Linked DNA regions of Kluyveromyces lactis. The protein of the gene in region 3 interacts with the protein of the main gene of each other region in a biochemical or structural test. Links are inferred from orthologs where the notes say so. Each region holds a gene or a part of one and is shown on either strand. Other genes may lie near its edges. The genes, in order: PCL1, PHO81 and PHO85.

Region 1 (2,768 bases), on a different chromosome or scaffold from region 3:
GCTTTGAGGGTTGTTTACGTCACGTGATGGTGTACCATCACGTGATACTCTTTTTCTTATATTTTGTATGGAACGGATTTTTGGCATCACGTGACATTGGCTATCATATCAAAGAAACGGCCTCTAGCGAGGCCGTTGCTCCTAGTACGGTTTCTTAAATACAGTTTTCTTAAATACAAACTTGCAGGCCTCTCAGTAAACGTTCCTCAGAAATTTGGGTATACTTAATGCTTCAGAGTGCTAGAGTACATTTTAGCACGTTCAGACTGGTGCACAGCGTTTCTCTCGTCTTTGGAACCTCAAGACGCAATATACTTATCGCGACCTTGTTACTGATGTGCCTTCAACACTAACTCCAACATCGCCCGATGTTGGTAGTTGTTGCCTGCTCTTTTCAGCTTCATATATATCTGTAAAATGCTCATTAACAAGTAATATATGTACTTAGTGCAGAGGACCTGCCTCTATTTATACAAATTTAGGAAGTGAAAAATTTTTGCTTGGGAAAAGTTACCCGGGACAGTAGATGTAAAGAAATCCGTTTCCATATTGATTATAGGGCATCGCCTAATGCGATGAGCCATGCTAGGTGACCAAGGGCACACACACCCCTTGTTATCTAGCACTATTATATTTAAAAGCTACTGTTATGTGTATATTGTAGGGTCGGTGTGCTGTACCGGCCGTACAGTGTTATAGTACCGAGGATCCATCGTATACTTCTTGTAGTTCATTTCCTCGGTGTATGTCGGAGATGACAGTGTCGATGATGACGACGACGATGACGATTCGTATTCCTTCAGTATATCCAAACTGTTAATGGATCCACTCCTGCTGTTCCCTAGCAGTGTAGCAGTGCTGGAACATGCAGAAAGGTTGCGTTGATGGTAGTAGAATTGAGATGCTTTCTGTTGAGCTTGAGCCTTGGCTCTTTGTCTCGTCTTGTTGATCTGGGCACCTCTCTCCAAATCTCTTCTGATTGGGTTGGCTAAATCATACAAGTTGTCCCATAGCTCTTCAGATTCGACTCTCAAGTCCCATTCAAACAATTGTAACAGTTGTCTTTCCATTAGGTTCACATCGCGCAAGGTGAACATCCCATCTGTGTACTTGGTCCAATGCTTGTTCAATGGGGAGGAATCGTTGTGGTATTTGGCACTGAGAATCAAACAGGCTAGGAAAATTCTATGGCATGTAGTAGGCAGACCAGCTGCATCGGAGGGCAACAACTCCCTCAATCTGTTTAGGTATACCACGGTGGTCAACAACGTGGATGTGTAAACGTTCGTGTACCGTACTAATCTCGAAATGAACGTCATTAGACTGGGTACTCCATTGTGGTTCTTACTGGATGGAGTGCCCGGTGGTGAAGGTGGGTATCTTTGGTTTCTGTTCTGTGTAGGAATCACTCTCAAAGCGTGATCAGTTAAAAATTTGATCATATCATCGCTCACTGGTGAATCGAACAGAATTTCCAAACTCTTCTTCTTGAACATGCTTAGACTTTATAGGCTTGTTGGGCTCTTACGATATGCTCCCAAAATTGTGCCTAACATGACAGGCAGTACTGGAAGATGCTTCATCCTTCCGATCCTAATCTCTCTTTTATATATGTTTGAACCTTCGCGAGTCTCCAGGTTACACATTTATCAATGCGCCAAAAAAGGCACGCTGCCATTGTCTACTTACAGTAAATACATCAATGCGGTGGTACCTGATACCCAAAACTATGCGATCTTGGAATAGTAATTTTATTTCGTGATCTTCAGAATCCAATTCACCCGTTGTCCTTCTGATCTAACCGTACTTCAAGCTGCATCAGTTATCAAGACGACCAAGGAAAGAAAAATGCTAATTAAAACACAATCAAGTAATGTAATTTCCAAAACTATAAAACTGACACTTTTTTTTCGTGGTCCCCATTGAAAATCTACCCATATCTAAACTCTATACATGCATTAAGTACCGTATCCGTTAAAACTTCTTTTCGTTCGAGACGAAACTTCGCGTTTTGCTTCTCTCTCGACACCGTTAAATCAACGAAAAAACGGGAAAGAAAAAGTTACACTATTTCGTGATTTCGCAGTCGCAGCATGTCACATGGTATATAGATCCGGTATACGTCTGACTAGTTTACTTATTGTGTGCATACATTGTCACACCTCTAATTCCATGCACTGTTTTATCGTTCCGATGGTTGCACTGGTCTGGATCGAATCGGTACCACCTCTTGAGATCGAATATTCGATATCACTTAGTCTAGATAGAAGTTCAATTCTGGTTTGAGGTTTCAGTTCATATTGTTCCAGTAGGCCCGCGATCCCCTCAATCATGTCAATAAGTGCTAAGCCCTTTGTGATTCTGATTTTGTTCACGGTGTATGTAGTGGTAGTCCAGTCGTCCTTGAGAATTGATTCCAGCATGGTTTCAAGGTCACGTGGGTGAGGTGCACCGATGCATTCGTAGATCAAATCCTCGGTGACTTCTTCTGTGTCAGGATTGTCTAGCGTAGCTCTTGCTGCCTGTAGTACGTTCAATGCTCGTCTCATGTCACCGGAAGAGAGCCTTAATAACGCTGCGTGTGCCTGAGGGTCTAATTTCAAGTGTTCCTTCACTAACACATTCGCAATACGACGTTCGATGGCTTGTTCGGACAAAGGTTGGAACCTGAACCTGGTACATCTTGACAGGAGTGCTGGTGTTAGCTTATGTGCATAATTAGCCAAGATACAGAATCTTGTGTTCTTGGTGTACCGTTCTATGATTCT
Region 2 (4,227 bases), on a different chromosome or scaffold from region 3:
ATAAGACTGTTTCTATGAAACAATTCAAATTGTATCTAGGAGAAACTTTCATTGGTATAGATTGTATCTCAGATTCTGTTGGGAACAAAACCTTTATGTTGAGCTGAATTTGTGGGTCGACATTATTTAATAGATCCTCAAATAAGACATATCTGTCTCTCAAAAGAGTTTTCAATGTTAGCCTGGAGGTTATATTGGCTGGAATATCAGATATCTGCTGATCAAGCATGCTGTTTAGCTGTTTTGCGTTCATATCGTTAAATAGTAACGGCACATCCCCAGCATGACAGATTAAACTAGTACTTGCAATCAAAGTACCATCGTTTAACTGTATAACACCAATGGTACAATACTTTCCATTTAAAGATGATGCAGTTACAATGGATTGCAAAGATGTGGACAACGACGTATTATTATTGTTAGCTCCACCACCACTTGTGGACTTCCAATAAGTTTCATATTTAGTGACTTCCAAAGATTTTCCTCCGTATGGGAAGATTACTTCAAAGTCAACATCGAATTTACCAACATTTCTCAATCTGGTGTCGAATAAGGGCAAAGTTAAATGATGGTTGTTACAAGTACTTTCATAAGCTTTGTGGAAAACATCAGAAAGAGCATATGTTTTTGCTATGAGTCTTGTTCCGAAAGAAGGGTATATTTCAATATCGATATCGAAAGTATCTAGGGAATCTATCTGGAATACAATGTCTTTTTCGTCCTCTTCTTGAATAGGCAAAATAATATTTCTTGGAATGATATTCGATACACTAGAAGTAAGAGTGATGCGTCCAGGTGAGGATAACATCATTTCGTCGTCCTTGTTGAGCGTGATTGATTCCTTTCCTGGCTTGAAAGAGAGTTTTACAAAAATCTTTCTTTCCAAAAAATTGTGACCATACTTTCTTAGAGGGATAATTGGTGGTGGTAAGGTGAAATCTGGAATATCCTTTAATGAATCATTCAGGGACAGTTGATCGTCAGAAAAAAGTTCCCCGGGATCTGATGGTCTCAAACTTCCAGCGAGTGGTCTATCTGGGAAGGCGCTATAACGTTTGCGGTTTCCAGCATAGCTTAAAAGTACATTCAATACAGAAAGATGTCCTTCCCATAATGCATAGAAAACTTGCGAGAGGTTTTGTTGATCTTTCATGAACACGTCTGCACCTAGTTCTAATAATACTTGGACGGTGGTGGCGTGTCCTTCTTGAATTGCGTAGAAAATTGGTGGCCATTTGTTGAACCCATCAATCTCATCTGGATCCGCACCATAAGAAACCAAAAGTTTTATCAATTCTGATCCACCGCCCATTTTTGCCACAATATGCAAAGGACATAAACCTTGGGAATCTCTTAATCTAGATAAATTTATGTCACCCTTTTCTAGAATAACTTTAGCTGCTTCATAATTTTTGTTTGAACAAGCCACATTAAGTGGATGGAATTGCGGCTTAGTGCCTTCACACAAAGATGGGGATAAATTGACGTTACCTTGTGCGATAAGTATTTTTGTGACTTCAATGTGATTATTAATAATAGAAAGAACCAAAGGAGTTTTAGATGTATTATCCAAAAGATCAATATTATCTATGAGTTCCGTGTTTATCAATAGAGACACGAAATTTGTTTTGCCGAGTTCACAGGCATAATGCAGTGGCATCCTACCATGAATGTCCTGAGCGTTTAGTAACTTACGAAATGCCTCTTGCTGTATAATGGAGTTTTGATATTGATAAAGTGCTGCCAAAAGAACAAACGTACGCGGTTGATGAGGACACAGAGCCGCTTCGTGAAACATATTATGCCTAGCAAAAACTAGATCATCATCTGGATCACTATATGTAAGATCAATGTATTCATTCCCATATTTCCAGAACACTTCTAAGGATTCATCGTCAATGCTGCTAGCCAATAGTAAGTTGAAAATCTTTGTGATGCTGTCTCTTATAACCAGATTTTTATCAATGCGAGTAGCAGATAGATGTGAGTCTACAAAGGATTGTACTTTAGTTTCGACGAAAGTTCTGATATGTGTTTTTCTTGGTTCAACATCTTTCAATTTGCTGATGCTCAACACTTCCATATACCATGATTCAATTTCCAACTCTATATCAAACAAACCAGCTGTTGAACTGGAAGTTGAATAATGATGTGCATTACTTGATGCTCCTTGTGAGAAGTTAATGAGAAAAGTTGATTTATCTGAACTGACTGATGTACGTGTTTCAGGCTTCGGAGCAATGATATTTGACATTGAGGGACCACTTTCTGAGTTACGTGATATCGTCCGGGAAATCTGTCCTGCAGGTCCATAGAAATTGGGTCCAGTGACATCATCATTATCACTTAGTTCGTCAAGTTCGATTAATAATGAGGACACTGCATCATTCCATTTGGATACTTCATTTCTGGTAAAAACTGGCTGTACAGAGACAACTGTTGCGAGATAAAAATCTTTCGCATGCGAGTGCGATCTTTTATCCCATTTCTTTAGTACCTTAGAGAAACCTGTTCTGTTTAACTCTACAAATTGTTCTAATTGTGCCAAATCTCTTTCAAACTTCTTAATACCATCTCTTATAGTCCTATACGCAATAGATTTCTTCGAAGTCAACTTTCCTTTCGATTTGTATTCATAGTATCTGGAATTTAGAAGATCGAACTTCATACGTAGATCAGCTTCCTTCTCGAGATAGAACTCGTTGACTTTTTCCAATTCTCTTTCCAATTTGAAGAAGAAAGATGCTTTATTCTCTTGTAAACTTTGGTACCGTATCGACTCATCCGTTTCATCCAATGTCATATAATCATTTGAATTTGTATAAGATGAAACTGCTGGAACAGATAGTTGCTTAATCAACTTCTTTAGAGCCTTGTAATTGATGAAATGTCCATTATACTCCGGAAGTTCTAACTGTCTCCCTTCAAGGTGTTTACCAAATTTCATCCCAACTGTTTCGACCGGATTTCCTGCACAGTCGTGATGTACAATATTAAAGTCAAGCTTTTAATGGAAAAGCACTGAAAGAGGTTCCAAGTCACGGACTGAAACGTTCCCAACACCTACTTCTACTTTTCCTTCTTGCTAAGAACAAACCTGAATAAAACTACCTTATACTTATATTAATTTCAAAACACAATGTGAATTTTTGTTTTTCTTCTTTTACGTCTCTGCAACTGTGTTCTTCAAAATAATACTCTCAGGTAACAAACAACAGAACAAAGAAATGAATCATTTCCCGTGAATTTTTTTCTCAATTCTGTATTCTACTTGTGCTTCAATTATTATGACAATTCCTGTAATCCCCCAATCCCCCTATAAGCACCCGTCTCATAACTTACTTGAAATCCTCTGCCAAAATCATTACCACACGCACTCAGGCATACAGAACAATCCTAAGGTGCATCGTTTTCTGTTCGTAGTTGCTTTATTTTCCTTCATTATTTTTTTTGTTTTTGTTTGACGTGACCTTCTTTGTGCTACAGTTTCTAGCCGTTGTGACTTTGTTACTTAAAGTCTTCTTGACACGCTCTGTTGAAATGAACAAAAAAGCCCAAAAAAAGAAGAGAAATAAGCTCGAAAAATACTGCTATGTCAATTTAATAAAAAAGGGAAGGAGAAAGAGAGCGCACGATGAAAGGACTAAGATATCAGTGAAAAACGTTGCTAATTCGTTGTCCAACAAACTTTTATTTGGGCTCTTTTTTTGTGCTTGCCATTGATGCCTTCACGGGATGCCTGATTGGTATTAATTTGAGAGCGAAGACGGAAAGTTCCTTTTTTTTGTCCATGCAGCAAAAGTTTGCCTATTATGTTTCCCACGTGCATTAAACTGAATTAAGTTGTATGCCACTCGTAACTCCACAATGTCATAGATTTCGGGAGCATTTCGGCATAATGATGAGATATGATTTCACTGTATCTTGAAGCTCGCATCTTGTAAACTACTTTCCACCGTTCCTTTCAAAGTTGTTTCCTCAGACTAACATGCCAAATGAAAGGTATGTTTTAGTTTCTATAGAAGCACGAACCGTAACACCGAATACCCTTCAATAACGCAAAATGATCGGCAATCCGTGTACCTAATCATCTCTAAGCGTTTCATTGCTTAACCTCTTGTAGATATTCTTGTATGCTATTGAATTTTGAGAGAATATCACTAATTTCGTCGTCATTAGTCAAGTCAACTTCTTCCAACTCAAGAATTTTCAACAACATCAACTTAT
Region 3 (3,118 bases):
CACCAAGAACTTTGAGTATTTCTTCTTCAAATGGATATACTGGTCCTGGAACAACACTTTATCCACGACAACGTCATGCATTACCCGTTTCGCATACCCATCTTTGACACCTTTCGAATGCTTGTATGCTGTTTGTAATAACCTGAAAGCAGTTCTTACCACCCGTTGTTTTGGATCGAAAAGAAGCTCTTTTTGCCCTGCGAAAGGGATATAATGCACCGATAGCTGGTGATCATGCAATAGAATCCCTACTGCAGCCACTTGTGGGATATAAAACGGACATAACTCAGCATTATCAAAATGTGGGATGTAAATTACTAAAGAGGTTGAAGCATCTGAGTTGGAATTCATAACCAAACACGTCTGATTAATGATAGCATCCTTGAATGGATTCCTCGGAACAATCCTCCTAACAAATTGGAACTTTGTGGTAACATCAGCCAACGCTATCGGTACAGATCTCGGTGCTAGATCATCGATGTTTACTTTCAATATACCCTCATCGCTTCCCAACGCGATGTCTTTCTTCTCTGATTTCACACATGAACCAGACTCTAAGTCGTATTCATTGTCTATAAGCATATCTGCACGTAGAATAACAGTCGAGTTTACATTAGGCTGCCTTATCACATTTAGCATAGCTTGTTCGAAATGTGATTTATCGAAGTCGACAGGTTCCGCTGTCGAATATAAAGATTGCCATTCTGGTCCCAAAATACTGGATTTCTCCACGGTATAATGAAGCGTATTCGAGGTCATATCAAACTTACGTCAACTCTACCTGTGCACAGTCTATATGGTTCTCTATATCCTGGTATTCCATCGAGTTCTTCGAGTCTGCGTTGAAACTGCTTATTAGTTGATGAATCGATGCCCTCTTTAAATTTTTCACTTCGAACGTTACTCATGCTCTAAAGGCACCAGGAATTCGAAGCAACATACAAGATATCTTCCTGCCTTTAGCCATATAACCACTTGGAAGTTGTTCAACATGAATATTATTATTTACTACTGTAAATGAATGGATAAGATTTCCAGGTATTAAAGCGTAATTGTGTATTTACTCCTGTCTAATATTAGAAGATCTTCAAGTAGACTTTTGTCACTGGCATTATAATTAGCAAGTACAGGGGAAAGAAGAGTTTTGAAATGGTACGCATATATAATTAGGTAGTAAACTATCTGAGATGGACGCCACAACTGCCAAACCTCAAATATTTCTGTCCTCTTCTAAGTTACTTCCTTCTGTATCCACTATTTTATTCTAGATAACACCATTCTTAAATATTTGAAGATTTCAATTCCTATTTGAATCATTATCTCTTGAACAGATGTAAAAAGAGGATCCGATAATGGTTATATAGCTCTCAGGACCATTCCAAGGATCATCAATAAACATAAACTATGGTGGCACCATCTCAGTATGCAGTTTTGTGAATATTTGATACTGGCAGCGAGGAGTACAAAGCAGATGAGTACTTCTCCTTACCACTATAACTCTGACTTTTATACTAACGCAGCAATCGTTTGTCCCCTCTACTACGCTATGAAACCAGATTCAAGCAACTTGAAAAGGTTGGTAACGGTACGTATGCTACCGTGTACAAAGGATTGAATAAGACGACTGGTGTATACGTTGCTTTGAAAGAAGTGAAATTGGATAGCGAAGAAGGAACTCCGTCAACGGCCATTAGGGAGATATCGTTGATGAAAGAGTTGAAACATGATAACATCGTGAGGCTATTCGATGTGATTCATACTGAGAATAAGTTGACGTTGGTGTTTGAATTCATGGATAATGACCTTAAGAAGTTCATGGACAATAGAAACAAGGGAAATTCTCATAAGGGCTTAGAGATGGATTTGGTGAAATATTTCCAATGGCAGTTGTTACAAGGTGTAGCGTTTTGCCATGAGAACAGGATCTTGCATCGTGATTTGAAACCTCAGAACTTGTTGATCAATAACAGAGGTCAATTGAAACTTGGTGATTTTGGGTTGGCTCGTGCATTTGGTATCCCAGTTAACACTTTCAGCAGTGAAGTGGTGACTCTTTGGTATAGGGCTCCTGATGTGTTGATGGGGTCAAGAAACTATTGCACTTCAATCGATATTTGGTCATGCGGATGTATCTTGGCTGAAATGATTATGGGGAAACCGTTATTCCCTGGTTCCAACGATGAGGAACAGTTGAAACTCATATTCGATACGATGGGTACTCCAGTGGAGCAGACATGGCCGCAAGTGACTCAATTGGCTAAATACAATCCACTTTTGCCTCCACATATGCCTCGTGATTTGAAACAGCTATTACAAAACAATACGGAGGAAGTGTTGGACGATAATGTAGTGGATCTATTGCATGGTCTATTGCAACTGAACCCAGATGCAAGACTTTCTGCAAAGGATGCCTTGAACCACCCATGGTTTGCAGAATATAACCATGCCAACTAACGATTTTAGATTTAGATAGCCTTGCTCATCTAAAGATACAAACAAACAAATAAATAAATAAATAAGTGTATAGTAATCTGTAACCATTCCTTTTACTTTTTATATTACGGATTTATTGAATTACGTTGATGCTAGGCTGTCCTCCATATTCCATAATAAGTTTCATAACATGTTTGTCCTTAACGTCGACCAAGGTTTCCCATAAGACGTCCTGAGACAATAACAATGGTCTTGTTTCTTCCAACTTGTAGAATTTATTGATGAATTTGTTCAGGACACGTATTCTCCTTCTACTAAACGCCTCTTCGTCAGTATAATCGTCTACTAATAGCAACTCATGTAACTGCTGACCAGCAGGAGTCAAATATATGTTGTTGATTAGTTCGATTAAGGGTCCATTATTATCCAAGGATTTAGAAGGTAACACCGATGAGATGTGAGTTACCAAGATAATGGCATGGAATAAATGGTTGATGTTATATTGACCTTGGTTAGTATGGAAAAACCAATGCATTAAGGTTTCTATGAGGAAATAAGGCTGCTTCACCTCGTAGTGGACGGATAGTTCAAGTATCAACTGGTTGTAAACTGGTTTCTTTAGTTGAATATCGTTTTGGAAAAAAAATTCTACCTCCGAGTAAAATATTGATGGATAATCCTGTTT

The links.
Region 1: the proteins of PHO85 (region 3) and PCL1 form a complex in vitro, tested with the Saccharomyces cerevisiae proteins (4 studies listed by BioGRID, with this or other methods). The link is inferred for Kluyveromyces lactis from reciprocal best matches to the Saccharomyces cerevisiae genes PHO85 and PCL1.
Region 2: of the proteins of PHO85 (region 3) and PHO81, one has a biochemical effect on the other in vitro, tested with the Saccharomyces cerevisiae proteins (6 studies listed by BioGRID, with this or other methods). The link is inferred for Kluyveromyces lactis from reciprocal best matches to the Saccharomyces cerevisiae genes PHO85 and PHO81.

What each region holds. Positions count from the first base shown.
Region 1 is NC_006041.1:1,168,867-1,171,634, reverse strand, and holds PCL1 (Pcl1p), read right to left. Parts: upstream 1,497-2,768; coding exon 648-1,496; downstream 1-647. Other genes in the region: RFC3 (replication factor C subunit 3), read right to left, coding at 2,157-2,768. UniProt on the Saccharomyces cerevisiae protein: G1/S-specific cyclin partner of the cyclin-dependent kinase (CDK) PHO85. Essential for the control of the cell cycle at the G1/S (start) transition.
Region 2 is NC_006041.1:1,401,660-1,405,886, reverse strand, and holds the start of PHO81 (Pho81p), read right to left. Parts: upstream 2,948-4,227; coding exon 1-2,947. Other genes in the region: KLLA0_E15665g (uncharacterized protein), read right to left, coding at 4,103-4,227. UniProt on the Saccharomyces cerevisiae protein: Inhibits the kinase activity of the cyclin-CDKs PHO80-PHO85 and PCL7-PHO85 under low-phosphate conditions.
Region 3 is NC_006040.1:1,022,231-1,025,348, reverse strand, and holds PHO85 (cyclin-dependent serine/threonine-protein kinase PHO85), read left to right. Parts: upstream 1-1,404; coding exon 1,405-1,421; intron 1,422-1,556; coding exon 1,557-2,454; downstream 2,455-3,118. Other genes in the region: TRM44 (tRNA (uracil) methyltransferase), read right to left, coding at 1-759; KLLA0_D11968g (uncharacterized protein), read right to left, coding at 2,567-3,118.